Drosophila melanogaster: one gene and its partners. The protein of the gene in region 4 interacts with the protein of the main gene of each other region in a pairwise test. Each region holds a gene or a part of one and is shown on either strand. Other genes may lie near its edges.

What was found.
Region 1: the proteins of CG12010 (region 4) and CG7856 interact in a two-hybrid assay, tested with the Drosophila melanogaster proteins (one large-scale study listed by BioGRID).
Region 2: the proteins of CG12010 (region 4) and Es2 interact in a two-hybrid assay, tested with the Drosophila melanogaster proteins (one large-scale study listed by BioGRID).
Region 3: the proteins of CG12010 (region 4) and Ccdc85 interact in a two-hybrid assay, tested with the Drosophila melanogaster proteins (one large-scale study listed by BioGRID).

What each region holds. Positions count from the first base shown.
Region 1 is NT_033778.4:6,055,405-6,063,552, forward strand, and holds CG7856 (uncharacterized protein), read right to left. Parts: upstream 4,155-8,148; 5' UTR 4,032-4,154; coding exon 1,980-4,031; 3' UTR 1,953-1,979; downstream 1-1,952. Other genes in the region: CCHa2-R (CCHamide-2 receptor), read left to right, coding at 7,477-7,793.
Region 2 is NC_004354.4:8,457,624-8,465,186, reverse strand, and holds Es2 (Es2), read right to left. Parts: upstream 3,709-7,563; 5' UTR 3,617-3,708; coding exon 3,265-3,616; intron 3,123-3,264; coding exon 1,969-3,122; 3' UTR 1,838-1,968; downstream 1-1,837. Other genes in the region: Sptr (sepiapterin reductase), read left to right, coding at 881-1,666; CG15347 (uncharacterized protein), read left to right, coding at 4,364-4,421, 5,805-5,963, 6,018-6,490.
Region 3 is NT_033779.5:2,997,481-3,005,897, reverse strand, and holds the start of Ccdc85 (Ccdc85), read right to left. Parts: upstream 6,613-8,417; 5' UTR 5,897-6,612; intron 1-5,896. Other genes in the region: CG3558 (uncharacterized protein), read right to left, coding at 7,650-8,107, 8,368-8,406.
Region 4 is NT_037436.4:3,372,324-3,380,761, reverse strand, and holds CG12010 (uncharacterized protein), read right to left. Parts: upstream 6,481-8,438; 5' UTR 6,442-6,480; coding exon 5,586-6,441; intron 5,529-5,585; coding exon 4,728-5,528; intron 4,672-4,727; coding exon 4,175-4,671; 3' UTR 4,113-4,174; downstream 1-4,112. Other genes in the region: Ids (iduronate 2-sulfatase), read right to left, coding at 759-898, 966-1,139, 1,191-2,211, 2,274-2,477; CG12012 (uncharacterized protein), read right to left, coding at 3,462-3,763, 3,815-3,881; Ythdc1 (YTH domain containing 1), read left to right, coding at 6,728-6,743, 6,893-7,792, 7,912-8,438.

The DNA of each region.
Region 1 (8,148 bases), on a different chromosome or scaffold from region 4:
GCCTGGACACGGACAACAGCTCGCCATAAATAATCCCGAGAAGCGGTTCAAGAAAGACCTTTGTATCGTGTATCTTTCATTCTTTTTTGTGTCTCACGCATTGGTCCCACCTCTTTCGGACCAACATTGTGCGATTCGCATGCTCCAATTTAGTTAGCAAATAATGCGATTCCAAGGAAAATGAAAAAATTAAGTAAGGCAACAAATGATTAATTTGCATAACGGTTCTAATTTAAATTCGATGTTTCCGAGGAGACCAAGGGTGCCCCATTGTGTGGAATAGCTTTATTTCCATCACGTGTAGCTAAATGTGGTTGCTTCGCCGAAACTTACTAGCCGGCATTTTTTCTCTTCTGTTGGAATTTAATTTATTTTGGGCTGATCAAAAGTGACTTAAGCTAAGTGACTTAGGCTAAGCCACAAACCGCAACCGGCTGTCTAACTGCTCAAATGACAAAACAGCTTTTGAATGGGGGGGAAATAAAAATGAAAGCTACATGTTTATATTAGATAAAACACTCTAAAGTACTCGACCGAAATCGTAATACAAATTGATATACATATTTTGTATAAACTTAGGTGCTACTATGATCTTGATAGAATAGAAAGACATGCTCGCATCCAACTTGAATAACCCGTGAGACTTTTATAGTAAAAATTACCTGATCGCAATTGACACTTTCTGCTGCAGTTAGCTACTAGACCTTGCCCAGTCCAATAATTAAGAATTCATATTCTAACAGCCAAAACGTCTTGTCAAAGTACACATAAATACTCATAGATACTGCCGAATATGTAAGGAAAACACTGAAGATGATTAAGTAAGATTCCGCATCTGAGCAATGATCGCTACCGTCATCATGGCCATTAGAAGATCTGACATTAAGCAACGCAATTTCCCATAAACAGTATACCGTAAACAACTCGGGGCACGGACATGGATGTCTGGGCGAGAAAGCAAATATTTACAAAACACTGCATTCTGATCGGGCTGAGTCCTGGCCAAATGGCTGGCGTGGACCACATGAAATCAATTAAAATATTTAGCCAACTGCTTCCAGCACATAAAAATGCGTTGAGGGGGGAACGTGGACCTGATAATAAAAAGTAATTGAAAGTGGCCGCGAGATGCGACCATAAAAACTGTGTTTTCGCCGCGTGGCAACATGTAGATATGTACGTATAAATACGTATTGATATATCTAGAGAGGGCTGAAAGCATGAACTGCTGACTTCGGGAAATAACAGCGATAATTGAAAATTATCCAAATAATAAAAGTAGGCCCCTGTTTATTTCGGAACCAATCACGCGCCAAGGGAAACCAAAACAAAGTAAATGCAAAACGCTTCAATCAGAACGCGCCCAGTGAATCGTGGACGGGAGATTCTGATTCTCGAGGGAGCACTGTTGGCACTGCTGCCACAGCTGTCCATCACATTGTCGATGGAATGCTCACTAGTCCCCAACGAAAGTGAAAATTAATTAAAATACTGAACGGTTTGGGTTTCTCGCCCGTTCTTTCCTCTATGAAAGTGCCAGTCCGCATATTTTTGGTTTTCCTTATTTCCATGGTGAAGCCAGCTGAGCTGAGAGCGCGGAATCCAAATATTTGCCAAATAATTAATCATGCCACTTTGCGGCCCAAAATCTCTGACAGATCAGCGCGAAACGCCTTCGTCAGTACCAGTCCCCCCACGCCAAGCCAGCCTGCCTGCAAGCCACTGATAAAGACGCGCGGGATGCTTAGCGCCCATGTCTCGTTGACTGATGGCCGCACCAGGCCCACGATTCGTTTTGAATATCTCGCAAAACGTGGTGCAGGTGGGAGCCGGGCCACTGCTTTTGCACTGAGAGTTTAGTGCGCCGATTGGTCATCACTTCTAAATTAGCCTAATCAATTTTCACCCACGCAGCTGTTCCTGCCGCATATCCACTCCCAAAACGGACTGCTGCTCATAAATCAGTTTATTTTCGCCAGTCAGCGAGCCTTTGAAGGCGTAAGAGTTTCGCGGGTGGGCATGTACAAGAACTCGCTGTCCGTCCAGAAATCCACCAGTGAACGCTGTTGCGGCCGGGCGTCCAGGTGCGCGAAGCACGTGGCGAAGAGCTGGCCCTGCCTGACGTGACGCATATGCCCGGCCGCCACCTCCGACATGAATTTGTCCACCGAGGAATCCTGACCACGGCTCCCACGCTCCGGCACCGCTCGTAGGCGCAGCGTGTGCGTCTCGGTGGTGTTCACGTCGACGAGCACGGTGGAGGTGGCCTGCCGGTTGTAGACACTACGGTTTGGCACGTTGTCCACAAAAACGTCGAAGTGGTCTACGCTGTCAAGGTCATGGGTGATCCAATGCAACGACAGCGAGCCTCCGCTCAGCCTGCACGCTCCACAGATGCTCACCGGGTAACTGAGACGCGCTGATGGAGGACGTCGTTTTCCATGCAGATCGGACTGAGCCTGTCGGCGCACTTCTGACGCTACGCATAGGTCCATGAAGAAGTTCTTGGCCAGTAGCTTCGCCTCTAGCCGCTTCTGTCCCTCGGGAGATTTGAAAAAGTCGGACCTCTTGACCGCCCGACGCATGTCCTGGCAATGGTGGCAATTGCAATCCTTTTGGTATGTCTCGCACTTGGAGGAGGCATCCTCGACACCGGCACTACTTTCTTCAGGCTGACTGTTCCCCGCCTCCTCAGGGCTGACCAGAGCGAAGGCGTACTCTACATTGTCGGGGGTGTCCTCGCTCTTTTGAAGGGGGCTCTCTAAGGCGTTTGCCCGAGAACCTCGACTTCGGCTTCTGGGTGAACTCCGGCGGTAGCTCTTTCTTGATAGGTTTGATCGGGCGGTGGTTTCTTTCCTGGACTTGGGCGCTTTAGCCAAGTCCGCTCTTGAATTAGAGGTGGCCGAGATTTTGGCAGTTACGTTGGGTAATGGACTTTGCTTCCGCCTCAGGCTCGATTTGCTCGATCGCCGTGATCCCTCAGAAGAGTTAGGCCCAGATGAACTAACCATTGCAAATATGGGTTCCATTGCAGGTGCTGACTGCTTATTTCGAGGTGACATCTTGGGCGACTTTCTGGGTGAACTAGAGCGCGAGGTCTTAAGTTTCTGGCGAAAAGATTTGCTGCTAAAGCGATTTCTGGAAGTAGGACGTCCTTGTGTGTCCGCTATCTTCTCCTGATCGGTAGAAATCTTCGAGGGACTGTTGTCGAATCCGCTTCCCAAAGGATTCTCCGACGAGCTCGCCAAATTGCATGTCACACTGTTCAATGCGGTGTTTGCGGAAGTGTCTGTTCGGTAGTCAGCCTCCTCAGTGAGACCCACTGGCGTGTAGCCAGTCAAAGGGGTGATGTCAGAGAGGAGGTTGGAAAGGTCGTAGTTCGTGTTATTGAATGAGCAGTTGGAGAAATGTGAGGTGGGCGTTATCTGGGAGGTGCTGGGCACAGTAGTGCGGGTGGGCGAGTCCGTCAGAAGCGTATCATTGGACTTGCTCATATAGGGATTTTCCTCATCTACCGCCTGGGAGCAGGAGGATGTCAACGAACGCTTGGAATTTGGCACAGAACCGCTGCGTTTGATGAACTTGTGAAAGAGATGTTTTACAGATGTGAAGGACTCTCCTGCCCTGACAAGGCCCACTGTGTTCTTAAGGAACATCCTGATCGAGGTGGAGGTCGAATCGAAGTTAACTGTATCACGAGAGTTTGAGGATCCACCTTGAAGCAAGGCACTGCTGTCCAGGGCTGCCGTATCTTCGGTTACTGACAACCTCGCCGCGGAGTGCTCCTTATTTCGTTGGTTAAGGGAACTGTTGCTGGTCGTGCTGGTGTTGTTCCGCTGACCCGAGGTAAGCGAGCTTTGGCTGCTCTCCGGGTTGACAACCACGAACACTGGCGGTGCGGGTTGCGTCCGAGCGCTTGATCCACTTTTAATGGAACTTTTGAGTGTGCGGCTGGGCATCGGGTTCCTCCTGCTGCCTGACGGAGCCGCAGGTATTTCGTCGGGCAACATGATGCTCACCCTCTTGGACATACTTATAATTTACGGAAGAGAGATTTGTGGTATCTTCTACGATTGCGAAATAAGTGTATCTATCGAAATATTAAGTGTGTAGGCTTTTCCCAAACTGCCAACTGACGCCAAGGCAACTTTACCTACCCTGTTGTCACCAGGAGTGTGCCCCTTTTATACAATGCAAAAGCGGGGCTCGCATTCAATCATCTTTAATGACGACTAATGGCTGGACCCGCGGGCGAGGTCAGGATGTCCATCCATGACTTGACTTTGTCGCCGGAAGTTGGTAGCCGAGAGACTGGCCCGCGATTGCGCATAATTTTGTCAATGTTCGGAGCATTCGGTGGGCGGGGCAAATTTGCATAACTCGCGGACCTTTCAGCTCGCATTAAATATGGCCAAGGCTAGCGTACGGGGTCCTCAAGGCCCCCTAGTTATATTTGACTCTAATTAGAGCTGCAGGGGAAATAATGAGTTGGCGTTGAGCGTTGGGTCGTGCCGTCGTGATAGGCCGTGAATTTAACAGAGTTTGAGGTGCACCTTTAAGCTCGCTTTTCTTTGAGGCTTATTATTCGGCTTGGCTGCTCATAAAAGAAGCAAATGATTAACCGACACGCCGCATTGCACATACGCCTCGTCGCCAGAGCTACAACCAGGGCACGCAAGTGTATTAAATTATTTTTGCTTTATGATTTATCTAACACGAAATACAACGGAACGCCATACCCTGTCTCTCTGGGCTACGTTTCGTTTCCAAAATCAAAAGCTCTTGCACAAGTCAAAAAAAGGAGAATCGCATTTTTTTCTCACCTTTATTTGTATATTGAGTCACTGTGCTGTAGAAGCAGTAATACATCGCTGGTGATAACATATAATATCTGGCTTTGCCTTTTGCTAAGCGGTTGCTCGCAACGGGGCATCCAAGACATCCCCTGCTCGGAACTGACTGCGGGTGGCAAATGCTTATTTCACCCGTGTCCCGACATTTGAAATTGCTTAACGGCTGGTTTTTATCTAGCACATACCAAATTCAGCTCGTACAACAACGCTAAATCATGAAAAAATGTTATTCCTAGGCCAAATGGCTGCCTCAGATGCGTTTTACAGTCACATCGCCGAATTTTAATACAAATAAAAAAAACTCTAATGGAATAAACGAAGGTCAAATAAAAAATATTGTGTATAATTGATTGAGGTCAATTGACGACATTAAGGCGCGTGTCTGGTCAGTCAAGTTTAATCATTTCTCTTGTTGATGGCTGTTGCCTGCCCAGTGATCCCATGGGATGGCCTCTTAAATGAAATGGCTTGTCTACGGCTAGGACTAAGCGGAAAATTTAACTTTTCCGCTTTCGCTCGTGAAAAACCTATCCAAAAGTTTGATACAGGAAAGAAAAAGTTTCCTGATTTAGAAAAAAGACTGACATATTCTTTGTTGTTGCCAGCAGCTATTTGACGTTTTCGGACTCTTTTTTTAGTTGACTCGCGAAGTGCATTTATAGTGGACAAGATGAATAAGTCAAGAAAAGAGCAGATTTTACCTTTAAGCCAAAACAGTTGATCTTTCAAAACCTAACCCTTTTAAATATGTTAAGTTGAGCGGGTGATAAAATTAAAAGGTTAAGACCCCAACGATTAAATGTGCTTAACCATGTGTTACAATTTTTCTACTCCAATTCTCCCCAAGACATGTGTTAAGACTTTTGAGCCTGGGCAAGAGTTCTATTTGCCGAAAATTACCCATGCCTCGGCAAAAGAGATTGGCATCGGCAAGGCCACGGATAAAACGCAATACACAACCTGAAAAGAAGATGGCGCCGATAAGTCGAAGCTTAGATACCCTTGCAATAAACACAAATATGTGTATTTAAAGCAAGAGAGAACGCTGTAGTCGACTTCCTCGACTATCAGATATCCGTTACTCAGACAGTAGGAATGGTCCTGCTGGCTAAATCATAACTTTCTAGCTTTTTTTATCCCGAGATCACAGCGTTCATATGGACGGAAAATGGAACATGGGACGATATGTGTATAATCATAACATTATATGTTATATGATTTATATGTTTCCAATTTACTACGTTGTAAACTTCTGACAGAGTACCCTCTGCAATATATGGTGCAATATATGCATGACCTCCGGTCATAGCTGATGCATTATTTAGATTCAAATTAATTTTGCGGATTCAGCATGTGCAAGGTGATTTCCCGTAAATAAGTGATTTAATGTCGCTCGAATGCACCACCTCGTCAGCAGCTGAAGCGCCTGACTCCACAAAGCTCCCGGGAATGCACTTTCACTTAGCCTGGTTGATTAGATTTTCCAGAAATAGTCTCACGAGCTGAAACTTGATGGAATTTCATTTGGCGAATGGGCTCCCATTCCGCACGCACTCGTAGGCCACAATCAAAATAAATAAATAACGAAAAAGAAATCAATGGCAGCTCACCAAAAGGCAACGATAGCTAGTATCGAATCGAAGCGAAATTGAAACAGCATCGGGACAACACCCTCGCAAGCTGACAGCAGCCCAGATAAACCCGCCTTAGAGTCTGTCTTAGTCGGGCGTCAGGCTCAGCGCTGCTTTCTTTTTAGGGGATAAACGCATTTGATTGCGACTTGAAAGTATTGGCTTCCGCACGAATGTTTTCGTATTAGTGGGATTGCGGGTCTAGAAACGGCAACTGAGCGTGAAAGATAATCACTGTCGAAGGGTAGGAGGGAGGGCCACAAATAATTGGATGTTTGAAAGACTCTGATTGCCGCACAGCAGATAGTGGCCGGGGGAATATTTCGAAATTTATGATTATTGGCGTTGTAAATTCGTGTTAAATGCACACATGGTCAGCGATTGCATGTTAAGGAGATTCTTTATTATGCCGATACGCACTTAGGCTTTACACGATGTACACGACACGGTTCAGCCTCAGATGCCGAGTCATAAATTCTTTTTACCCACCCCGTTACACACGCTGCGTATGCGTGTTATTTATGCGCTTCATAGGTAATGCATTTGCCTGCGTAGATAAGCCGCAGCGCAGCGTGTGCTTTACGAACAGGCAAATGCACACCGATTACAGTTTAACTGAATTAGTCTGAACTGACGGAACCACTCTCTCTCTCTCTCTTTTCTCTTCCTATCTCACTTTCTCCCCTAACAGCTTCCGGCGCCAACTGTCGAAAGTCATGCAGAAGCTGACGGGCAACCGCCCCAGCGAGCTCAGTGGTCACGGCCAAACACAATGTGCAAAATAAAACAAGAGCCCGTGGGAACACCAGTAGCAACATCATCGACATAAGCACGGAGGACCAGGCAGAACCGGCAGCTTTCGGCTCTCGGCTTTCGACGGACGGACGGCAGCAGACCCACGGAAACGGAAGTGGGCAAAGCGAGGCCATAAAACGCCACGCATAGAAACACCATTGAGACATCTTGCCCAGGAGCAGCTCCCTCCTCCCCACATGTACGCCTCCTTGATGGACGTTGGCCAGACGTTGGCAGCCAGGCTGGCGGATAGCGACGGCAACGGGGCCAATGACAGCGGACTCCTGGCAACCGGACAAGGTCTGGAGCAGGAGCAGGAGGGTCTGGCACTGGATATGGGCCACAATGCCAGCGCCGACGGCGGAATAGTACCGTATGTGCCCGTGCTGGACCGCCCGGAGACGTACATTGTCACCGTGCTGTACACGCTCATCTTCATTGTGGGAGTTTTGGGCAACGGCACGCTGGTCATCATCTTCTTTCGCCACCGCTCCATGCGCAACATACCCAACACGTAAGTGGATATATCACGCACTGTGGGGGTCCCGCAGAAGGTGGGGAAGTAGGCAGGGGGCCCTGGAATAACATCTATTGAAGGTCTTCCGCTTTGATACAGGCAGTTTCTTGGGGACCGCCCTCTCCGGGCCATAAATAATAATGTCTTTATATTATACGGTCGCACATTTGGACCTAAAATGAGCTCGTCACTTCGCGAAAGAGAGTGGGAGTTGCTACTCAAAATTCATGGACAGCCTTATAGGCCACATTTGATTTTATTGTTTCAGTACAAATAACATCGTAGCCCGAAGAGTGAATTAATAAAAGGTTTTTAACTCCTCGAAGCAAACAGCGAATATGATGACAAGCCA
Region 2 (7,563 bases), on a different chromosome or scaffold from region 4:
TTCACTTTGATCGGTCCAGTTTTCTCGGCTTCCCCGGATCTCCATCTCCGCTGGTCCCACATTCCGGGCTCCAATGGCCAACAGACGCCATTTTCGACCGCCCATCTCACTCCCTCTTGTGGCGGAGGTGGTGGCCGCCGCTACACTGAGCGCAAATGCTAATTCAAATTTTGTAAGAAAAATCAATATAAATTTAATGACAATTTGCGAGCTTGAACTTTATAACAAAGTTGCAGAGCTTTCGAGAGAAGATTACTCGAGTTAACTCTTTAAGATGCTGACCTTGACATTGACATTCGATCACACATTATATATATAATATATTAGTTGGGTTCTTTCCAAAAGGACCATAAGTTTTGATATATAGTGTAGTATTATATAGTAGCGGTTAATAAAACATAGGCAATTAATTAAATTAAATCGTTAAGCAAGAGCCGGCGATAACCTTTCGCATCGAGTGAAGCTTAAACCGTGAGAGAAATGTGCGAATCGAGAGCACAAAAAGCGGGGAGAGCGGGAGACATGGGCGGGTATATTGGGGGGCTAAAATTTCCAAAAATAATAATTAATTGTTTCTACAAATACTAATACCTTTAAATGAATAAACGAAATGAATAACCTGGTCATCGCTAAAAGTTTACTATGATACTATTTAATGGGTATCAAAAACTACACTACTTATATTACCCCCTTTTAGAAAGTAGTTTTGCTTACGCTCCTGGTCATAAAAATAAAAGCACCAAGCTTTAGTCAGCTGTGCAAAAGCTGCCGGAGAATCAGGTAAAAGCCAAAGCGAGTTAAGGCAAAAAGACAGCCAACTGTTGCCACTTCAGCGGTGTGGAAATTAGAAAGTAATATAGTCCGTGTTTTTCACGCAATCATGGACCTGAAACAGCGCACATATCTCCTGGTGACCGGTGCATCACGTGGAATTGGCCGTGAGTTCGCCCAGCAGTTAGCCAAACGGATCAAAGCCGAGGGTTCCATGGTGACGCTTCTGGGACGCAATCAAACCCTTTTGCAGGAGTCTAAGGCAGAGATTGTCGCCACAGTGCCAGATCTATCCGTGCAAACCTATTCGCTGGAGCTGGAAACGGCCAAAACGGAGGACTTTACCAAGATTCTGGAGGCATCCGGTGGAAAGAACAATTTCGAGCGAGCCATAGTCATTCATAATGCCGGCACAGTGGGCGATACGTCAAAGAGGGCCAAAGAAATCGGAGATACCGACTTCCTACAGCGCTACTACCACTCCAATGTCTTCTCGGCCATTTCGCTAAACTGCGAGTTTATGCGCGTCTTCAAGGGAATCCCAAAGTTGGTGGTTAATCTCAGCACCTTGGCAGCCATTGCACCTATATCCTCGATGGCACACTATTGCACGGTGAAGGCAGCCCGTGAGATGTACTTCCGAGTGCTGGCCACCGAGGAGTCCGCCGAGGACACCCTGGTGTTGAACTACGCGCCCGGCGTCATAGACACACAGATGACCGTCCAGGTTCAGCGAGAGGCCCACGATCCCGCCGTGGTCGCCATGTTTCGAGAGCAAAGGGAGTCCAAGACCATGCTGACTCCCGCCCAAACGACGGAGCGATTCATCAAAGTCCTGGAAGCATTCAAGTTCAAGTCCGGCGATCATGTGGATTACAGGGATGAGCAGTTCTAGCTAGTTAATCAGTATGTTGCTATCTGTGGTAATGGGGTTTTTCGTATTGAAACATTAAAATGAAACTAAAAATGTGCGCAAGTGTTTTTGCTACAACACCCAATACATCTTAATGAACTTCAAAGCTGATAAGATATGTGTATGATGTTTATGATTTACGCATTCTTAAATCTTCTTTCCAACAACTCGGCATCTATTTATAAGAAATATACAATTCGTAACAACACTGTGGGACTATGTATAGTATTCTCTAATGAAATTAAACATGAATAATGTAGCTGGGTTATGGGTAATGTTATGTACTAAAAGAAATCGGCTGCAGTGCGTCGTTTAGTGGGTATCTTGAGCAGATCGTCCGTGAGCGTGGATCCCGTATCAATGGTAACGTTCTTAGCCGGAGTGCTAATCTTGGCCTGCTGTTTGGGTTTGGGTTCACCCAGTATTGGCGTATTGGTGCTCCTCACCACGCCGGGCGTAACCTTTCGTTTTCTGCCGCTCATCGGCGATGGTGTGTGCCTTAATCGGGGCGTGCCGCGGATACCCAGCTTACCCGTGGCCAGTAGCTGCGCTGCCGGCGACATGCTGGCCAGCCGTTCCATATTGGTGCGTATCAGTGGTGAGCCAATGTTACGACGCGCCGTATCCAGAGCCATTTGTTTTTGATTTCGCATCCTTTCGCTGACCCTTTCGGCCAAAGCGATGGCGATGTTTTCGCGCCGAGAGTTCTCATTAATCCGGAACGAGGGTCCTTGTGTGGGCCGCAATGGGGTATCGCCTCCGTCCAGGCGAAAGGGAGTGCCATCGATCTCACCCCAGGTCATTATGGGCGAGAAAGCCTCTCCGGGTCGCGGTGATGGTGAACGCAACAAATCGAAGCCGCGTACCTTCGGAGTAGCTGTGGCACCACCAGCCCCATTTTGGGGCACTTCATCATTCAGCTTTTTAGTGTCCATTTCGCGATGCTTTGCCTCATCGGGCAGCCTGGTGGCATTGTGTTGGATGCTCTGCTTCCGTTCGGCCAACTGGACGCGCTCCTCCTCTGTGTACTCCACGCCATCGGGCACGTACATAATGGAATTCATGTTGGTGTAGTTCCAGGTTTCGATCTTTCTCAGCGGATCTGGCTCCTCGAATTGCGTTTCTATGCTGGGCAGCATTAGGGCCCGCTGCAGTTGCTCTGCGGAGAGCTTCTCATGGTTGTACAGTACTGCGTATTTTTGGCGCAGCTTGGCCTCGGCCGTTTCGATGATCTCCTGAAAGCTCTGGTTATCCTCGCTGGTGTACTTCTGCAGAAAGGCGTCCAGCGATAGCTTCGCGGTGGTGTCCCTGCCCTCGGCATCGCTCTTCTCGGAGCCGTCCGTGGAAAATGGTGTGTCTGTGGCCCGGGAATTTGGCAATGGGGTGTTGCTACATTTCGCCTGACTCACTGGTGTCTCAAATGTGGCCGGGGACATGGCTGAAATGAAGGAATTCAAAAAGTTAATGGGTCTATCTATTGAACTTGGCCAATGTATAATTTCATCAGACTTGATTTCAAGTAAGATAGTAGCAGACAGCGATGTGCCAGTGGTGTTCATCCAATTGAGTACAATACCCACCATTATTCCGTCGGCTGGTGCTTCTTCCTGTCCCGGAAATCCTGCCCAGACTGTAGCGCTCCCGAATCTCGGCCATTTGTACAAAGTCGCGCCGTGACTCCGCGTCCAGGTAGTCGTTTTGGGCACGCAGCCGCTCCAGATCGGGAAAGAAGTCGCGCTGGATGATCTTAGACATCTCCTCGATGTACTTCTCCTCGGTAAGGATCTTTGGCTTGTTCTTGTGGCGCACCATCGCCGTGGGCTTTTTAAACTCGGCGAGTGCTGAATTCTGGACGCGGGCCACTTCCATGGCCAGGCTGCCGGGAGTGCCAGGTGTCCCCGGTGTGGCAGGTGTTCTAGTCGTGGCGCTCATTGCCGTTTATATCTCGCTTTTTTCGTAAATAACTTTGTTTTGTTTAGATATAAAAAGTGAATATTTTTGTCTGCCAGCAAAGTGTGACCGTTTTAAGTTTCACTCAGAATAACAAAACGTCGGTTCAAAATATTTCCCTGTATTTTTTTTTAATTCTCGGATGTAAAAGGTGAAATTAATCAGCTTAAAAGTTTCGACTTCCTTTACAATAAATTGGTGAGTATGAACCAATTTAAATTTAAATAGAAACAAAATGATATTTTGCTAAACTATATTAATTAAAAACTCTGGCAAGGAGTACTTATCGACGTGTTATCGATAAGTGTGGAACGCATTCAAATGCGCGCTAGCATTTGAATTGAAATTTTAATGCGATTAGCTAGCACTTGAAAATGAAATTTATTACGATTTTGCAAACATTAAAGATATATTTTTAAAACATCTGGAAGTTTCGCAAGTGCGCTGACTAACCCGCTGAACATAATTTATGAAAATGAATGTATGCCAAAGAGCGACAACTTTAGCGTCGTGAATCATTTCAAAACACTTTTTTTTCTCAACTCACCAATAGAATTACTGTTGTCGTGGTGCCTTATCGTAAAGCTGTAGGTATATATGAATAGGGTATAAAGCTCGGCAAAACTCAAATCACTCATTGAACCTTTTCTACTCCCTTAGTTCTGGTTCAGCTCCGTAACCAGTCGCAACATTCGATCGTCGTGAAATTAGTTACATCAGTTATCAGCCATGAAGTTTTACCTGTTGGTGATTGCAGCCCTCTCGTTTTTGGCCTACATCAGTTGTGGTAAATGTTGTACCTGCCTAAATGTTGTTCCAAAATAAGTTTCACTTTTAATTTTCATCGGGATCGTATTTTTTTTTTTTTAATTTTCTTTTTGCTCTTTGAATTGAAAAACTTATTGAGTGTTTTATATAAGGTGTGATAAGCGGTGATATCATGGACACGGAAATAAATTCATGATAAGCTATCAATAGGCGAGTTTCCAAAGAAACTTTTAAAGGTTCTTAGCTTTGTAACTGGGCAAACATATTCTTTTTTTTCTAAGTGTGAGTGAGCCAGCAAAAAGATGTGAAAATTGTACGCCATATATTTAAACCATGTGTACATACAGCTGTGTTCAAAAAAATAGCAGTGCAAGAGAAACTAAGAAATGCGACGGTTTTTTTTTCATGTTTCGGGATCGAATTTTTATTCCACTTATTTTTGTGAATTGGAATGTGTAGATAGGGAAAAAAAGAAAATGTCGTTAGTTTTCTATGCTATCCTTTTTTTTATTTACATTCTTGAGCAAAATCACAACTTTTAGGCTGTTCAACAGAATAGCAGTGTCTGGTTTTGACCAACGTAAACTCCCGAAATGATCAATATTTTCTAAAAAGTGAGTTTGAATTTGAATTTGAATTTGTATATTTAAAAGGGCAATAAATTAAAAAAATAAAAAATAAAGAAACGCAGAAGCAAATCGGCTAAGAATAAGTTCGTTCTAAGTCAAGTTGAATTTTGTTACTATTTTTTCATAGCACTGCTATTTCTGCTTGTTTTAATCTATATTTTCGAAACTATTAAAAAAATGAATGTGAAACATTTGTTGAATTGTTTAAAATTAAATACCTAATGATATTATAAAAAAAATTTTCCCATTAAAACTTGAAATCTTAAGATTTTTTTATTTTAAACTCAAGCACTGCTATTTTTATGAACACAGCTGTATGTCAGCGGTAATTTAATTTCTCTTTGTGATGAAGTACATAGTTATTCCGTTTCATTATTAAAGTTGAAACATAATCTCGTACATTCGTACTTTCATGTAAACACTTGGTAAATATTTAATATTTACTGCCACCTGATATGCTAAATATAATTTGCTTGCAAGCTTTCGATTTATAGCCAATGTAAATTGACTCTTCTTATCAAAAACATACAAGTTTGCTGATTCACTTGTCATGGGCATGTTCGTAAGAATCGATTGTGGAAAATCGAGACAATTGCCATCCGAGTACAGTGCGCGTCATTGTAATAAGGCATGCAGGTAGATACATAAAAAGAAATAATCAAACACATTCAAACACATATGCACTGTGGTAGGTAGGCAGACTTTGCACGAAATCAATATGATGTCATTATGCCAACGCAACGATTACGAAAAACTTGATCTAATCTAATCAGGCATGACTCAATCGAAACGCTCCGTTCCACTCGCTCAATTTGCAGATGGATGCATCCAGTGCAATTCGAAGGACAACGAACGCTGCGCCACAGATCCATTGAGCCTGCTCAATCGCAACTGTTCCGATGGATCCTCCAACTGCTATTCCCGCGTCCTGGGTATGTTATCGCATTGATTACCCTGGCTGCACCATCTAATGGTATCTTTCGCAGATGGCTACACAATTCGCGGCTGTGCCGTCGATCTGGACAACGCCACGCGTAATTCGTGCAACAACGAGCTACTGTGCCAGCTGTGCACCTACAGCGAGGGATGCAATCGAAACACCTTCCCGTTGAGCCGCCTCATGTGCCTACAGTGCACAGGGAACTCGACCTCGTCGTCCTGCGCCACAGAGACCTATGTATCGGCCAAGATCTGCCCGCTGTACAAGTTCGGCGACAAGTGCTACATTCGCAATAGCAATCGCACCGTGGACGGATCCTTCCAGCGCGGCTGTCTCACCTCGGCGAATGCCAGGAAGCAGTGCGTCAAGGATGGCAACTGTTATACGTGCGAGGGACGCGGCTGCAACTTTCTGCTGGCCAATGATACCAACATTCCGCTGGCACGCGACAGCGGTGCCCAGTTGATCATCTCCATGACGCTGCTGATCAGCGGTCTTGTCGCCGCCTGGAGACTCTAAGATGTAACGACGGCCAGAGTCGAATGATGGACGAAAGTCAATCATGCCACAGACCCAGTTCTTTTAGAAATTCCCGTCTTATTATTTTCTACATTCTAAAACATCATTATACATACATACATACACTGGGATGTTACATTTATACTCGTTTATTTCATTACTTTGAACAAAACGTTAATAAAGATAACTAAACTAAAGAAGACAAAAATAGAAATGGTTTAGTTATTACATTTTGGGATTGGGGGATAACCAAAACGTTGCTCACTTTGAACAGTTCTTCATCGTAATGTTTTTTGAAGCAAAAGTAAGCATAAAACTTTAATGCATAAACACAGTGAACACACATTTCACTTTTTACGAGGTGTCAACGGGTTGGCACTGCAGTTGACAACATGCCACTGTGTTTATGAAGTCCCGATTTCAATTGCGATACCCTATACCTCTATTCCTCGATTCCGATCCCAGACCAAGAGAAATCGACGACGAGCCGCAAGTACCGGAGTGGCAGTTGGAAAACCGGAAGCTCTCGGCGCAAATGAGGAGTGCATAAATGTGTCGACGCCTCCGAATGTTTGTCAATTACTTTTCACGGCTCGCTTTTCCGGATGCCATTTTCCATTCGATCGAACTGGATGTGCGGAAATAGATCAGTTTTGTGCATGGTACTCGGCTCCAGCGATTTGTTAACTAAACTAACTATTTATAGGCAACATACGTACGTGGAAATATATATACATATGTACTGTGCGGGTTTTTAAATGCAAGTTATAATATTAGTCAATTTGATTTAAATGCTTTTTTCTTGTTCCAATTAGGTAGTCAAATTCATTTCGCTAGAACTTCGTTGCCATCAACTTTCTGATAGCTTGTACTTGATTTTCTTCGATTTTGTTTATGAAATTCGATTGGAGAATCAACAAATGTTGATTAGGCTATAAGGTAATCCAAGGATGCCATGAAATTTTACTCGCACTGGCATTCGCATGACGACGACAGTTTTACACAAGGGGTTCCAGAAGCAAACTTCTATCCGAACAAAGCAGACTACACCTGGAGACACAGAGCTTGTGTAT
Region 3 (8,417 bases), on a different chromosome or scaffold from region 4:
AATCAATATAAATCACAGTCACACATTGATTTATACCTATAAAAGGTTATCTGGTACCATCTTCAACTTTTCCCAGTCATAAAAGGCACAGAAAGGAACTGGATCAAACTGTGAATGGGAACAGGGACTATTCATCATATTCCTATGCCATGGGATTACGAAACCCGAGATGATAATTTATGAGGGCCCTAAAATGTCCTCGACTTTCTCGCCCTTCCGCCCAACTGGGCCTACCTCACGTACAAAAGACGTGAAAATAGGTGAATAGGACGTGAGAAGGGCGGTGTGGAAACAATAAAGAGGCCCGAAAACAAAGCATTATGTAAGCATTAGCACGCTTTAACCTCCCGCACGTCTAGTTAAACATAAAAATAATACAAAAAACAAAGACCGGAGCGTGAAGAAACCATAAAGAACTACGAAGTCCGACAAACCCAGAGCAATAACAATTAGCGACAGCGAGAAAAGCTGCGCGCATGCGCAATAAATGCCTAAAGAACCAATTTCCCCCGACCCCACGGGCCCCTCCAATTAAATTTCTATTAATTTTGTACCAATCATAAGGCCCGGGCAATGCCATAAAAAGCGGAAACCATTAAAATGACTCTGAGATTCTCACTCGACTGATCGAGTGAAAAGGAAGGGGCGCGGTAGGAATTCTATTTCCTTTCTTGGGCACAAAAGCCGCTTAGTGCCGCACTTCTTTTGTCTGCGCCAGCGCAACAAACTTCCGGATTGAACGATCTATTGAAAGACCCGGGACCAGGAAGGAAGCCACTTGGTGGGCTTAGCCCAAAGAGAGCGAGAGATTCTGGAAAGGTACTGGAAAGGGAAGTGGAAGTGTTACACATCGGAGGTGAAACTGCGTTTCAGCTTTTCCACGCTGAATTTATGAACTAATTAAAAGACAGTTCCTATCGGGCGGCGATGAAAAGGGCAATATTTGGAGTAACCCAACACCAGTGCGGTATGTGCACTGGGAAAAACTATAACGTTATGTATTGAAAACCAACCAACTGAGTTCAATAAATACATGGCAACAATTCAGTTGGTAGACGGAGAATTGAAAAAACGCAAGAGCTGCAATATCAGATCAAATTTCCCCCAGTGTTCCTTTTGGTCACTGAGCCATGTCGATCTGCTGTCTTCTGCTCCTCGCAACAGCTGGGCAAGAGGTGAGGTGACCAGTGGTTTGTCGGTTGGTCGGTTGGTCGGTTGGTCCACCGTTGGAGGCTGCTCTTGTTTATAAATCAAGTCACATTAAGTGTAATAATAAACGCAGATCGAGGCGAACTTGAGCCGGTTCTTGGGTTCAGCGTCGATTGGGTTGGGGCTATATTAAGGCTGTTCTGCGGCTGGTGGCGAATTGAATAAGTCATAACAAGAGAGAATGCTATAGTCAAGTTCACCGACTATCGGATACCCGGTACCCAGCTAGTGAAAGTACCTGTTACATACATTTTATCGAATCTAAAATAGCCTCCTACTTACTCTACGAGTAATGGGTATCAAAAGGGGAGGGTGGTGGCGCAAGGTGGGAATTAATAAAAATCTGGCCAAATTGTGGCAGCGCGTTCTTCTCCGCTTCGATAATTATGGAGACCAGAGCAAGCGAAAAGAGAGAGGCTTCGGCGGAGCTGGGGAAATGTCAAAACGTACGCTTCATTGCCGTCGCCTGTCTGCTGTCTTCTGTCTTTTGGCTTCAGTCTTCAGCTCAGTTCACAGTCTTCTGGTCTCTACTAACGATAACGACAACAAAATGCTGATGGCACAAATTATAGTCAAGCAAGAAAGAAAAACGGAGCCGGAGTTGGAGTTGGAGTAGAAGTTGGAGCTGCAGTTTGGAGCTTGGAGTTGGAAAGAGCCGCGGCTGAAGACCGGCAGGCCGGCAGTAGAAAGCAGAAAGCTAGCCAGAAAGCCTCCGTCTTTCGGTCCCCAGTCCCCCAAGCCCGCTTTGTCTCGAGCCCCACAATTTCCGCCATTTATGACAGTCACAAATCGAGTTACACTCACATACCCACCGCCTCGACTTTGTCTATAGCTATAACCATAGCTTTGACTTTGGCTTCAGCCTCAGCTCCAGCCCCAACTTCAGATTGAGCCTCTCCTCCAGACCGCCGCGTACTTTCTAATTTCTAGGCGCACTTTTTCACTCGATGCTCTGCCGCCTGGCTGCCGTTTTTGATGTTTAATACCCTAGAAAATGGAGGGGCACACGAAACTACTCTATACATTTGCACAATATTGTAACTTCAATATGTACTTTAATTTGTGTAACATAGCATTTAAGTTCCATACTTAAAAATTATCTTCAAACAAGATGTTTCTTTCGAAATAGGCTAACTAAATACTTCCTATTATAGTGTATGCCACATTCGTCATCTGTGGTTTGCATTTATTTACCAATATGTTTGTTGTCACTGCTTTCTGTTGAGCAAACAAGTTTTTTGGTATTTTTTTTTATTATTATTGTTCATCTCTTGGGTCTCCGCCAAGTGTTAATGTTCATTTGTGCATGCGATATTCACCAAATTGCATGCAATAGAAATTTGTTGTCGAGGTCGCACCGCTCCGCCAAACGAGCATCAAAACAGACCCAATGCCGCCACTCGGTTCCGTTGATACCACGGATGCCCCAGTCCCCCAGCCCAGATCTCGAGCCCCAATCCGCAATCCCCACTGTAACCATAACCATTCACAATGCCAAAACGGCAGCAGCGGCGGAAAAAAACGACGCTTTTGGAGGAGGTTTTTTTGGTAGCTAAGTGATGGGAGGTCAAATCAGTTACAGTTACGTGAGGCTGTTTTGGGCCAACAGGAGAACGTTTTGGCCAGAAGCAGAGCGAATTGAAAGTAAAGAAGGGGCCTCCTAATGAATCCCAAGTGGAGCACCCCTCAAAGCGGATTCCATGCGATTGGAGGCCATTTGATGATCTCATGGCAGTTCCAATCGACTGGTCTCATTTACATTCCTTCGGCATTTATGTCGAATGGGATCATTGCCAATTACAATGATATGTGTAGAACCCATCTGGCATATCTTTTTTGGTCGTAGAGGAAATAGATTAGAATTCTTATCATTGCATCTTTTACCTAATTATAACTTACTGGTTTATTACAGGAATTCTATAATGATCATGTTCCATAAAGAAGACTTGCACTTATCATTTGCGGTCTTTTTTATCTGATTTACATGCTCAAAACATGATATGTCGATCTATAGATCACTTATCATACATTTCAACCGGTTCCGTTTCGATCATTTCTGGAATTTATAGCATCCCGAGACGAGACTTGTTTTTTTATATTAGAGCATTCTGATACAGTTATTCCAAATCAATTTTCCCGGCGAATGCTTAGAATATTTTTTTAGATTTCCGTAATTTAGTGGAGCTGCTAGCTGCTCGAGACGCCCCCTTGTGCTTCCTCGTGGGCCGGAGCCACATGCTCATGACCGTTTGTCATTTCCAGAGGCGCGCCAATTGCCAGAGTGGCCTGCCAAGTATTTCTGCGCACTCTGTGTGAGAAAATGTGGCCAAACGGTTAATAACAGGGGAGTAGGTTGGCCAAAAGGGGGTTTCCTCCAGGCGACCGCAGAAACGGCAGCAAGAGTCAACATGACCGAGCCTAAAAGAAAAGTCACAGTTGCGCTCAAACGAATAGCACCAAAAATGTCACTCAAAGATAATATAAGTCTTATATAGCATATTATATTCTGATCTCTTATTAAATAATCTTGGCGTTTATATAATTTTTGGGATATATGTATGATATACGATTTTGTGAGACGTGTTTATCCACAGATCGCAAAGCGAAGCATTTAAACTAACCTACTTCTAGCATTTCCACCGCCACTATAAGCATGCAAGTATGTGACCATGTGGAGGAGATTCCAGCTATGGCTGCCGGGACAGGAAACTTAAACTAGTTCTAGTTCGAGTAGCTGGCTTCTAGCCGTTCCACAAACTGGGACACTTGTTGCGCCAACTTGGACACTCGATGGCTGGATGACTTGGCTTGGTCTGCCCTGGCTTGGCTCGCAAGCAATCAAACCTGCAGCCCCAAGATGACAAACAGACGAGGCTTCCCACGCATCAGTCACTCCCATGCCGCCCCTGCCACTCCCACGCATCCGATGGCCGAGTCCCGAAGGCCCGGAAAAGAGAAGCCAGGCTAAATTGTCTTAATGGACCATGAAGAGGAGCCCGCGGAGACGTAGAGATCCAAAAGATCATTATACTCCAAAGAGATTCTGCAGATGGCGGCAGGCGCGCGTAAATCTCGAAACCGCCCAATTAAACAGAAAGATATACGTATATGGATGGGTGCTTATAGGAATATAAAGAGCAGGGCGACACACAAAACAAAATCACCGGCGAGGAGGACAGACAACGAAAGAGTGAACGGAGGACCGGCGGCGATGTTGGCGTGGATAAGCCCAAAAGAAAGTTTTCTTTCATTGACAAAAATTTCTTACTCGACTGCGCTGTCTTTTATTTGCCGCCGCGTACAACGAACTTGGCCTCAGTTGCCCACGGGCGCGGATCTTAACCCATTAAGATGCCGGGCCAAGTCAGGAGGAGATTCTTGTGGATACTTTAGAAAAGCCTCATGACCGCAAAAAGATTCCAACTCGGATGAAGGCTTAAAGAAATGAGTAATATTAAACATTCAACTTAGACCCCTAAGGAAACATACTTTTTGTCCGAGAAGTAATAGTGTTAATAATTGTATTAATATTAATTACTATTTACATTTTGCCAATTCAAACGATGCCTGACTGTTGCATTGTTTGTGGTATGTGGCCAAGCAGTTTTCCCAACTACACCATCCCGCCTTTCCATTTAACCCATGGACAATGCATTTGCATTTCTTGGCCGATTTCTCCCTTTCGCGTTAATGGGTTAATGCTGCTGCTGCTGTTGCCTGGCATTAGTTACAGTTTTCCGATACACGAAATTGACTTTACATATTTCAGGCAGCGGGCGATGTAACAGGTTGTTCGGCGCCATCTCTTTCGCTCTTGCGGGCATTTCGTTTCGAAACGGTGGCGTCGCTGCTTTTACCTGTTGCATGCGGCGTGGTTGTTGCTGTTGCTATTGCAACTGCTGCAGCAACAACAAAAGCAACGGCGATGCTGCAGCGTGGTCGGTTTTCGCTGCTGGTTTTGTTTGATCTTGTGTCTTATTGTTGCGCGTTGTCGTGTATCTTTCTGCCTGTTATTTGTTGCTTTCCTCGGATGCGATACTATCGCCATCGCTCCTGCTGCCTCTCCTTCTCACTCACACCAGCAAGCAACTGTTGAATTTATTGGCGCATATAAATGCCTCAAAATTGATGTTATTGTCGTCCGATATTCCCTTTCTTGCCCCCTTGCCGCCTCGCTGGCTCGTTCCTTTGTTTTTGTCCTGCTTGTTTTGAAAATTGATTTTTACTCGGACTTTTATGGCCGTAGTGGCCGAGCGATAAGTGGAGGAAAAACCCGCCTTCGTTTGCGCACCGTGGAGGGAAAAGACAAAAGACCAGAGACAAAAGAAGAACAAATGGGCAAGGTGGGCGTAGCGCTGACAAAGTGGGCGTTCCCGAGGAGAATAGAGCAATTTTCTGGATCGAAGGGAAAAGAGGGGGCAATGAGTTAATTTTCCGTGGGCCGAGGCCCATGGATTTTTAGTCGACTGACGTGGGCTTGGTACACGTAAAAAAGTATTGATTCAATGTTTTTTCAATAGCTGAAGAGCCTGAATTGAACTTTTTGTGAGTGAGTTATCATGTATGTTATTCAAATAGTTCCTTGCACTGTACATTAATTGTGTGGAGAAACGTGGGCAGGGAAAATGGCAACTTAGGCCAAGGCAACTGCAGTTGCTGCAATTGCCAATCTAACAGCAAAACTCACCTTTTATTTTTTTTTATTCCAATCCGATCGCGCGCTCTCTCTATGTTTCTCTATCTATCTCTGTTTCTCGCTCCTTCTCTCCTTTCAAAACAAATCACAAATATTTGCGCATGCGCGACTGCGCATTCCAGGGATACAGATACACACAGACACACACAATACACTGGCACACAGGGGCACTCGATTCCGCCGTTTGTTTTGCGGCTAATTGTTTATACAGCGTAGATTATTCTTCGCACTGGATGTATTTGTTCATCCGGCTATTTTCGTTTGTTTTTGCTCCGCACGAGCAAATTTGCAGCGCACACGCAGCCGAGAATTCGCGCAATCGCTTTTTCCTGTATGTATCTTTTATTGGCCACAGTTCGCGAGTTTTCATGCCCTTTTCGAGAGCCAAAAAGACGCGTCGCCTGCTGCGTTTCGCGAACTATTTTCGGTTGGCTAGAATCCCGTAAAGGCGGTTTCAGCCGGTGTTCCCCTTGCACTTAACAAACACTCAAGCGGCACTCGCAACTAAAGAACAAAAAGTTTGCGAAAATGCGGGCGGTGTGATTAGTCGCCAACACGAATGTATCGAGTGCAGGGCGGGGAAAAGTATAACATAATTTATGCGATATTTAACAATAAAATAAACACAACGCAATAATTCAGCCGGCGATGCGCACTTTTACGTTTTTTGAACGGCAAACGATCGCAACGATCGCAGTTTTGTGACTGAAAGCGACCGATTTCTAGAGATGCGTTCAACCATCCACAGTGCTGTCGACTATCGATTGTTTGTGTTCGACTAAGATATCGGAGTGGAATGTGTTTGGTTTAAAGTGTGGGCATAAATCGATCAATCGATCAACTTCTATTTTAGTACATATTCAAATTCAAACTCTTCCGTTAACGATCTAAACGGAAATTTATCTTGCCTGCTTCTTTTAATAAGTATAATCTTGAATATATTGGCTTGAAGTTTTCATAAGAAACACTTTTATTTAAAAACATTTTGGCTAAATTTCAGCGCCTAAATTATCATCGTATTTCGCCGCCACACCCCAAAGGCAGTTCTCCCAATGGCCCTCAAACCTAAACTGTGTTTCCGATGCAGGCAGCTCCTCCAGCTTCAGCTGACTTGCGCAGAATGAACTGTGCGTTTACGTGTCGCACCAGAAGAAGGTATACCCAGTGAGTCCCTTTGACTCCTCTGGTGGTTGCCATGTTATAAAATTGGCTCTCACGTTAAACCTGAAATCCTAAGCTAATAATAAGAATAACTAAATCTTCTTGGCTGTGCATTTACTTGGACCAATTTAATACTTTCAAGTTGGCTTTACATAACTTGTGTAATTTGATCTTGCATACATAAAAGCATAAAATATATTGCAAAAATACATATGTATACATGGTATGTGTGTTATATAATTCTCTCTATAAACGTTGTAAATTTTGCGTACGGCTGGTAATTAGAATATTTGTTTACATCTGAACACTTAAGATCCACCGTCCCGATTCACTTAAAACATTTAACCTAAATCTATTTGTTTAACGCGTTGAGTGTTTCTCTTTTTTTTTTTTAGTTGAGTCCGTGTGCATTAACTTGTAAATCTGTTCAAAACTGCATTGTTCGTTAAAAGTTGTTTTTTAAAATATAAATATCGAAAATTTAACAGGTAAAAAGAATAATTTCGTAAGAGTAGCTGGTTAAAACAAACAAGGGCTAACAAATCCGTAAAATATGTATACACAAGCTTTCCGTTCCAAGCGATCATAAAGACCCCTGCTCCGTGACCAGCACAACGCTCTGCTCCTGCGCAATGGCAGCCAGCTCCTTAAGCCACTCGTCCATGAGCACAGCACATAGGGCCAGATCGCGTGATCGCTCGGTGCCACTTGTGCTGGCGATGATTCCCATGGAGGCCACCGAGTCCAGGGACGCCGGCTCCGAGTTGAAACCACCCGTCGACGGGCCGCCATCCAGACCGTGCAGAGTGCTCGCCGAGTGGGTGGTTGTGTTCGACTGGGCGGAGAGCGTTAGGGTGGAACCTGCGATGCTGCTGTTGCTTCCCGATGCCGCTGTTGACGTCGCGTTGGCTCCTGTGCGTGATGCTCCCGCTGGGGGCTGCGTACTCAAGCTGGTCTCGCATGTGCCTGCGGACGTCTGAGCTTGTGATATGCCTCTTCCATCGTTGCTGGCATTATTCCCCACCAGATTCGAGGCAGCTCCTAAAAACGTATGCGAGGATTAGCAACAGCACATGATATTGACATTTTGGGTTAATTAAAAAACAACAATAACCACATGTATATATGGGATTCCACAAATGTTTTCTATATTCTACTATTAACTATTTTTTTAGTGGAAAGCATAATGTACAAAGCTCTACGAAAATAAAGATACTACGCACAAATATTAACAAGACTATGCCATATTGGGTTAGGTTTGATTAAAACTTTAAATATTTTATCAAGCGTGAAATATTTACCGGTGAAGAATGCGTAAATTTGTGATAAGCCAGATGAAGCTAAGATTTGT
Region 4 (8,438 bases):
ACAGGAAAAAACCAGTGGTTACGATGTGCTATTTCTGTCTTTTTAACAAGTAACAAGAATGCAATTATTTCTTGCCTGCTTCTAGGCGCTTTTTAAAAAGTGCATATAACAAGAAGTATCTTACCATGCTATCTATCTCAGCAAGCCTTTCATCTGTACCTGTAGATGTATCTGTAAATTTGGTAAAGACAGTAAATAGTTTGCAAGAGAATTTCTTTCTGTGCTCTGCTTTTCACTGGCATGGCAACAAACCGAAGAGAAAATGAAAGCTCGAAAAAGAGTCGCCAACGTAGCCCCCTCTCCTCTCCCCATCCTCTCCCGATTTGGGCGTCGACGGCGCTGCCGACGCCAACGCAGCGAGACGCGCGCCGCCAACGTTGAATGAAATTTCATTCATTTCATTCACAAAAATCCACAAAAACGAAGCCAAAAAGGCAATGGACACCAGTCACGCATGCGCGGCTCGCAGTGGATCGGATTGTATATTGTGCATATATAGATTGGTTGGGCGGCTCGGGGGGATTTGGGGGTGAGGCGGTCCCCAAGGCGGGGGCATCGCAGAAATTACAGCGAAAAATATGCAGCATGTCTGGGCGTCTCGCGGCTTGCAAACGTTGTTGCCCAACCGGAAGTATTAAATTCCAATTATGGCGACAAGATATTTCGCCGTCTCGAGATCGTTTGTCGCGCTGCCTTTATTGCTTATGAATTCATTCAAAATCAGAGGGATTCGAAGGGGAAGGGACAGCCGATCTCCACTAGCTGCCCACCATCTCCATCAATCGCCGGCGAAGGCGCTGACGCACATCATCGAACTGCGGCAGGGGCATCAGGTTCAATTCCTCGCCCGAATCCAGGCGGTGGTCGTACAACTCCTCGCCATACACATCGTGCCAATCTGAAGGGAGTTATATTTAATATATAATTAATATGGTTATTAATTGAATCTATTGATATTCTCTTACCTCTGCTAAAGTTTTGCGCATGGAACCTCACCCACATGGTATACCTATATATATCGGTTCTGAGACTATAGCCCATGATTTTTATATTCCTTAACTTCGGCTTGTCGCTGTTCGGGTGCTTTGTGGGCAGCATTCCTGGTCTTGGGTACTGACTGAGAGCCACGTGCTCATCCGCTGGAAGTGATTGCATTAAATACATTATATATCACATACAAAGCAACTTACCCCTTCCCAATCCCATCAGCTGATGGTAAAGACTTTTTCCCTCGCCACAGGTCAACTCCTGAGAGCTCTGGCATTTGTCCAATTTGGGTAATCCTGCCAGATCCACCAAAGTGGGGAAAACATCAAGGAGTTCTGTGATCCCGTGATAGTACTTCGTTTGGGCGACAGGGAACTGTGGACTTCTTATGATCAGTGGAACCCTGAGCGCCACCTCGAAGTTGCTGTACTTGGCCCACTCGGCGTGCTCACCCAGAGACCAGCCATGATCCCCCAGAGCGACCACCACCGTCTCATCCAGATCCAATCCCCCAATCAACTTGCCAAACAGATCATCCACATAGGACACCGAGGCGTAGTAGCTCTGTCGTATCTGAGCAGCCTGGAGTGGGGATATCGGTCCGTAGGGAAAGGATATGTTGGAGTGCTTGAAGTCATCCCTGGCCCGCACATCTGTGTAAGGATTCCAGGCCACTGCCGGCATATCCGGCGGCTTCAGGCTATCCTCCGTGTAATTGTAAAACTGGGAAAGGTTGAATCTCGAAAGGAATTGCCGTGGGAACCGGAAATTAATGTGCGGCTTGTGGAAGCCCATGGCCAGAAAAAATGGTTCCTGGCTGTGCCTGCTCCGTGAGCCCACAAAGCGCAATGCCTCCGCCACGGACTCGATGTCCGGCAGCGTTTTGTACGGCTGAGTTTGTAGCTCCACTGGACAGATGAGATTCTTCCGCAGAATGCCCTCCTTATCGGGACACACTGGCGAGTTCATAAACTGCTCGGTTCGGGGACGAAATGCTGGAGCCGACCAACTAAGGGGATAGTCATCCGTGTTGTTGGATGAGAGGCCAGGATGGAAGACCTTTCCACAGCTATAGGTGTAATATCCGTGCTCCTTGAAGTACTGCGGCAAAGTGGTGAAATTTCCGGTGAAAGTGCGCCAGTAACTGTAGAAATCGTACAGATGCAGAGTATCCGGTCTTCGACCCGTGAGCAGCGAATTCCGGCTGGGTGCACACAGGGATTGCTAAAGATTCAATATATATGTGTTTTATTAGGTCCGCACATCAATGATCACAGGCTGCCCACCTGGCTGTAAACTCTTGTAAAGATGTGACTTCCTCTAGCAAAGTTATCCAAATACGGCGTGCTGGCCAGCGTATCGCCATAAGCTCCAATAACTGGACGCAGATCATCAAAGATCACCATCACCACATTCGGCCGTCGTGGCGGAGCAGCTGCGTCCAGCAGCACTGGCATCATCAGCGAGAGCAGGAGACGAGCAGTGATCATGTCTACGGCGAAGGAAGCTCACAACTGTTGACTCGAAGATGCCGACACGGCGGATGTGGATGCCGGCGAATTTGTTGTGCTACCCTGTGCCCATGAAATCTGATAAGGGGGTATATCAGCGGCTCATACATTTGGTTTTATAAAAATTTTGAAAATCAAGTAATCTATATATATTCAAAAATTCAAATATCTAAAATATGGCGTTTTGAAGGGTTTTTCTTTTAATCTCCTGATGCATTTGAAGGGTATATTTATGTCATTCCCAAATTCATTTAAAACACTTCACTTGTTTACTGTTTTGCGCGGTAAAGTCCAAAGAGCATGGAGAAGAGAAATCGGACGGGCGGCGCAATTCAAAACCGCCCTCCATTATATTTCAATTGAATTTAACGGAAGCGCGCCTCGTCGACGCTTACAGTGCACATTTTACAAGTACAGTAAAAGTTCTATAATCACGAAATGCAACAGTGGGTCAAATTATTCACAAATCAAGAACTAATGAAGTTTTGTACAACCTAGTTCATATCTAAAACCGTCCAAGTCATTATATCTGCGTACCATTACTCTAAGATATAATAAACATGTTGTAAACCTTTTATTTAAATATATAAATATTTTTTCTTTTGTTTGCAGTTTAAAACTTATGTTACTTAAAATCCTTGTAAAAAGCCAAATCACTATTCAATTGGAAAACATGTTCAACTGATTTTTTTTAGCATTTTTTTCATAACTGGGCTTACTGATTTGAATTCGAGTTTAGCATATTTCACTGTACATGACCATTCTCCGGACAGGGACTGGAATGGAATCGGGGGCATTCCGCAGGCTGGCATGAATAATATTTACACATAGTATATAATGATTTGCGAGCTAACGATTAACAATAACAAAAATATTGGTGCTTTGTGATAGTCACCCACCGCGAAAGCCTAATAGGGATCAACTTTTAGCGTTTCTTTATGGATAATTTCTGGGTAATCCCCTCTAGAAAACCGTTCCGCAGTTGGAACAGCGCTTCTCACGCATGGCCAAGCAACAGAGAATTCCCAGCGGGAAGAAGAAGATTGCGCAGCACAGTCCGCAGGCGGAGAAGGTGTCCTCCAGGTATCCAATCCGACATGCAGGGCATCCTCCAATCACGATGATCTCGGTGGGCATAGCGACCGGAGCAGGCTGAATCACCACGCTGACCGGCGTCGTCTCGAAAGCTCCGTAGGTTGGCATGTGCATGTTTGGTGGCGGAGCACTAGGTGCTCCCTGATGCACGCCCACTATCAGCCGGGAATCTAAAAAAGATGTGCATTGAATTGGATGCCTTTAGTGAGCCTATTACTTACCCTGCGAGGGACTGTTCATGACTTCTTCGTAGCTCGGCGGCGCGGCGTCTTTACGGGTATCTGCCATTGTGGCCGGAAAGCTTTTTTTTGTGACTCACTGCTTCTTGTTATGAAAATAGTCTAGGCTTTTTTACTACGTTTAATTGCGTTAACTTTTTCTCTGCGTTTTCTTTGTTTTGCCGCAATCAGTTATCGTTGCAACAGCTGACTGCGACTATTCTATCGATTGGTAATCGTGGTCGCGGGAGTACATATCGTAAATCAGTAGTTTGAATTTGAGCAAAGAATTCTACGATTTAACATCTTAAAATACATTTATTTATGCAAAACTAACAAATGCAACTGCACATACATCTTGTTCTATAAGAACCTATAAGCAAACTTATAGTAGCCATCTATTTGGCTTTGAGTGAGCGAGGATTTCTGCTTGGTCAGAACTTTTTCAAAGTCTTGTAGCTCAATTTCCGTGGCCTTAAAGTCACGTTGAAAAGCCTCGATAGCCGCCTCATTGCAGAGATTACACAGATCCGCTCCAGAATACCGGTCTGTTCGGGCAGCAATCTCCTGGAGAAACACATTTTCATGGAAAGGCATGCGCTGGGAGTGGAGTTTTAGCAGAGCCAGGCGGGATTTCTCATCTGGGGCTGGTACATGGATAAGCTTGTCAAAGCGTCCTGGTCGCAGTAGGGCATCATCGATCATATCCGGTCGATTGGTGGCTGCAACGACAAGTATATGTTGCTGACTACCACCCCCCACAATGCCATTCATTTCGGTCAACAGCGTGGAGAGAATCCTCAGCTGAACTTGTCCACCACCTCCGCCACTTGAGACCGTCCTTCTGCCAACAAGCGAATCTATAAAATTAAGTGGATTAATCATTTTTATGGCAAATTAAGCTTATCCGACTCACCTATCTCATCTAGAAATATAAGACAGGGTGCATTTTTTCGCGCTGTGTCAAAGATTCGCGATATAAATCTTTCCGCGCAACCGACGTAGGGAGAGTACACCTCCGCCGCCGACGTAGCAATGAAGGTCATGTCAGCTTCCTTGGCCAGGCACTTGGCTACGGTGGTCTTGGCACATCCTGGAGGTCCATAGAGCAGCACTCCTTTGGGCAAACTTAGTCCGAATCGAGCAAAAGCGGCACTTTGTCTTATACCCGCTAGAACGGAGACTTGCAAGGTACGTTTCAGTGCTTCCATGCCTCCGATAACCTCAAACCCAGCCGTCATCTTCGAGACCCGCACATCTGTGGATCGAGATGCACTCGGTTGAGTTTGTGACAGGGATTTGAGGAAAATGTGCTCTATGTCGAAGTCGTCTTTTGTTAAGAGTTGCTGTTGAACGCGGCGCAGGAGTAGTGTTAAATCCGCTATCACATATCCCTGAGTGTTTCTCGCTATATGCTCGAGTAAAGTCTGTGAGATATTCAGCTCGTGTACTTCGCAGAGATGCTCTACGAGTTGTCTGCGCTGCCCTTCGCTGGGCATATTAATGGTCACCTCTCGGACGAACCGCCTGCGCGCATGTTCATGCAAGGAGTCCGGGACACCAGAAGTTGCCAGACATATGATGCCTCGAGGAAGTGCGTCTAGCAGTTTGTAGAGCTCAGCTGAAATTCGTAGGCTATTGCTAGAGTTTTTTGCATCTGCGACAGCCGTTGAGGGGCAGAGCAGCTCCAGATCCTCAATGAGGATTACAATTGGCACTATAAATATAAAACTAATTAATATTTCAAACGTAAAACAAACACTGTGAAAATTACATAATGGACGTAGTTTCTCCTTGAAAGTCTGAGCAGCCTGAAAGATCCTCCTCAACTCCTCTTCGGTTTCGCCGGGATATGAGCGCAGCACCTGGCTGGCTGTAATGTAAAAACAGTTGCAGCTATGACGACGCAGGAACTCACTGAGTAGACCACTTTTTCCACAGTCCACCGGACCCACAACCAATGCTGTAGTAGGAAATCTATGCGAAAAGCTGATTTTAGAGGTTTCCAGGAGCTTCTCCAACTGCTCCATGGGTCGCTCGAAGCTGTGTGGCAAATACTTGAAGATAAAATCTAAAGAAAAGGGCATTCCCAGGCGTATGTCCGCCAGGAGTAGCTCAGCATCGTGGGCTATTTCAAAACACTCGTCATCAGCAACTCCTGGAGCATCGAATATCTCCACACTGGCAATGCCCAGCTGCACAAGGCGTCTGTGCTGCACGGAGCATCCTTTGGTAAGCTTCAGGTGGCGCAGGAAGATTCGCACATCGTCCTTCAGATCCTCCAGGGAAACCGGAGGTCGCTGAAGGAGCTCCTGGGTGACTGTAATCACGCATGAAATCCTCTTCACGCAGGGAACTAATTTAAGTGGCTCCAGAAGCACCAACCGCTGATTGGTGGGGGAGAACCGCGTCAAGGAGGTTACAATTCCATCAAGGAAGCAACAAGTTTCACTGCCTGCACGCGGAGTTACCCAACAAACTGCGTAGCTGCCATCGCAAAGGTGACAACGGTACCATCCAGTTCCAGTAGAGTTCTCCCACGCGGGTATATAACATCTCTGTGGCTCTAGATCGCTGTCGTCCAGCAAGGAAAGCGGAAAAGTCGGGAAATCCGACTGATTGTGGTGCATTTTGTTTACCTCGCTTCGTTAGGAACGATAACATAACCGATTGCAGTGCATTTTCAGCTATTTCTAGCTACCTTTTTCAGCTGCATCCGCCTATCGATAGTGGTCCGATAGTCGCGGCCTGCAGACATATAGCCGCACTCTTCTGACGCCATCGCCAATTCGTCGCCGCTGTGACGCAGAATTTGTGTGTAAGCATTGTAAAATTGGCGTAATTTCGCGATATTAAAGGGATATATTGCGTTAAAAGTGAACAAAAAGTGGCGCTAGACCGGTGTCCACACAATTAATGCCAAGAGCAGCCCGTGAGTTTGGGAATACCTGTATTTCCCTGACCTTTTCTTACCTTGCCGATCGATCGGCTTTTTTCTCTATATATTTTTCTTGGTTTGCGTGTGTGCGTGTGCGTGGGTGCTCCATTCATCTGGTACTCCGATTTCCGATTTCGGAGCAGGTAAACAAACGCTGCCGATGCGCGAGATGGCGGACTTGGATGCAGTGCACCTGGGCCTCGACGAGAACGAGGCGGACATTGCCGAGGAGCTGCAAGACTTTGAGTTCAACACAAGGAGTGAGGCTTCCGAATCGAATGGTGGAGACTCATCCGACTCGGAGCCGAGCATCAGCTCCGTCAGCACTGCCACATCTTCCCTGGCGGGCAGTAGCAAGCGGAAAACCAAGAAGCCTGCCAAGCAAAGCCCTCAACCCGCTGTCGAGACCAAATCCTCCAAATCTTCCGCCAAGAACAAAGCCAAACGGGAACCCACTCCCGAGGAGCTAAATGGTGGGAAGAAAAAGAAGCGCACGGATAGCGGGACGAAGAAAACAACCTCATCTGAGGCGTCGGATAAGGTCAAATCCAAATCCCCGGATACCGAGGATCGACAGCCGTCCGCCAAGAAGTCGCGCACCAAGATACCCTCCAATGCCAACGATTCTGCTGGCCACAAGAGCGATCTCAGCGAGGCTGAGGACGAGAAACCAAGCCTTCCAACTTTGGAGTCCGACAGCGAGTCCTCTGACTCGGATTCGGGCACTCAGCACAAGAGAAACGGAGGAAATGGTGGCGGCAACGGCCGGGGCAAACCCAGTTCCAAGAGCTCCACGCCGGAAAAAGATTCTGTCGGTGGCGGTACGCACTCACATTCGCAGAAGGGCTACGACTACATGACCAAGCTGAACTACCTATTCCGAGACACACGGTTCTTCCTCATCAAGTCGAACAATAGCGACAACGTCCAGCTGTCTAAGAACAAGAGTGTGTGGGCCACGCTGCCGCAGAACGACGCCAATCTTAACCAGGCTTTCAAGGAGGCCAGAAACGTCCTGCTCATTTTCTCGGTCAACGAGAGTGGTAGGTTCAAGGAGTAAACAATGTTTCTCATTTCTTATACTTTCTTAGTTTCTTAAGAATAAGATACATACAATGTCTATGTCTTCAAAACCTCTATTATAATCCGATTTTGCTTTTAGGTAAATTTGCAGGATTCGCCCGGATGGCAGCCCCCTCACGGCGGGACATTCCTCAGGTGGCCTGGGTATTGCCGCCTAGTATTTCGCCCAAGGCACTGGGCGGCGTCATCGAGCTTGACTGGATCTGCCGCAAGGAATTGTCTTTCAACGCCACCCTGCACCTGCACAACACCTGGAACGAGGGCAAGCCGGTGAAGATCGGTCGCGATGGCCAGGAGATTGAGCCCAAGATTGGCGGCGAGCTGTGTCGTCTCTTTCCCGAGGATGAACAAATCGAACTCACTCCCATACTCAAGAAATCCAAGGAGACGGCTCGAGTTATGCGAGAAAAAGGTATACACGTGATCTACAAGCCGCCCAGGAGTCTATCCTCGCGTGGCCATGGAGGGGGAGGTCGTGGCGGAGGCAGAGGATCAAATCACGACCACCTGGGCCCGATGCGGCACAAGAGGAGCTACCACGGAGCACCACACCATCGGCCGTACCGTCACCATCATGGCATGGGCCTTCCGCCGGGCGGTGGCTTT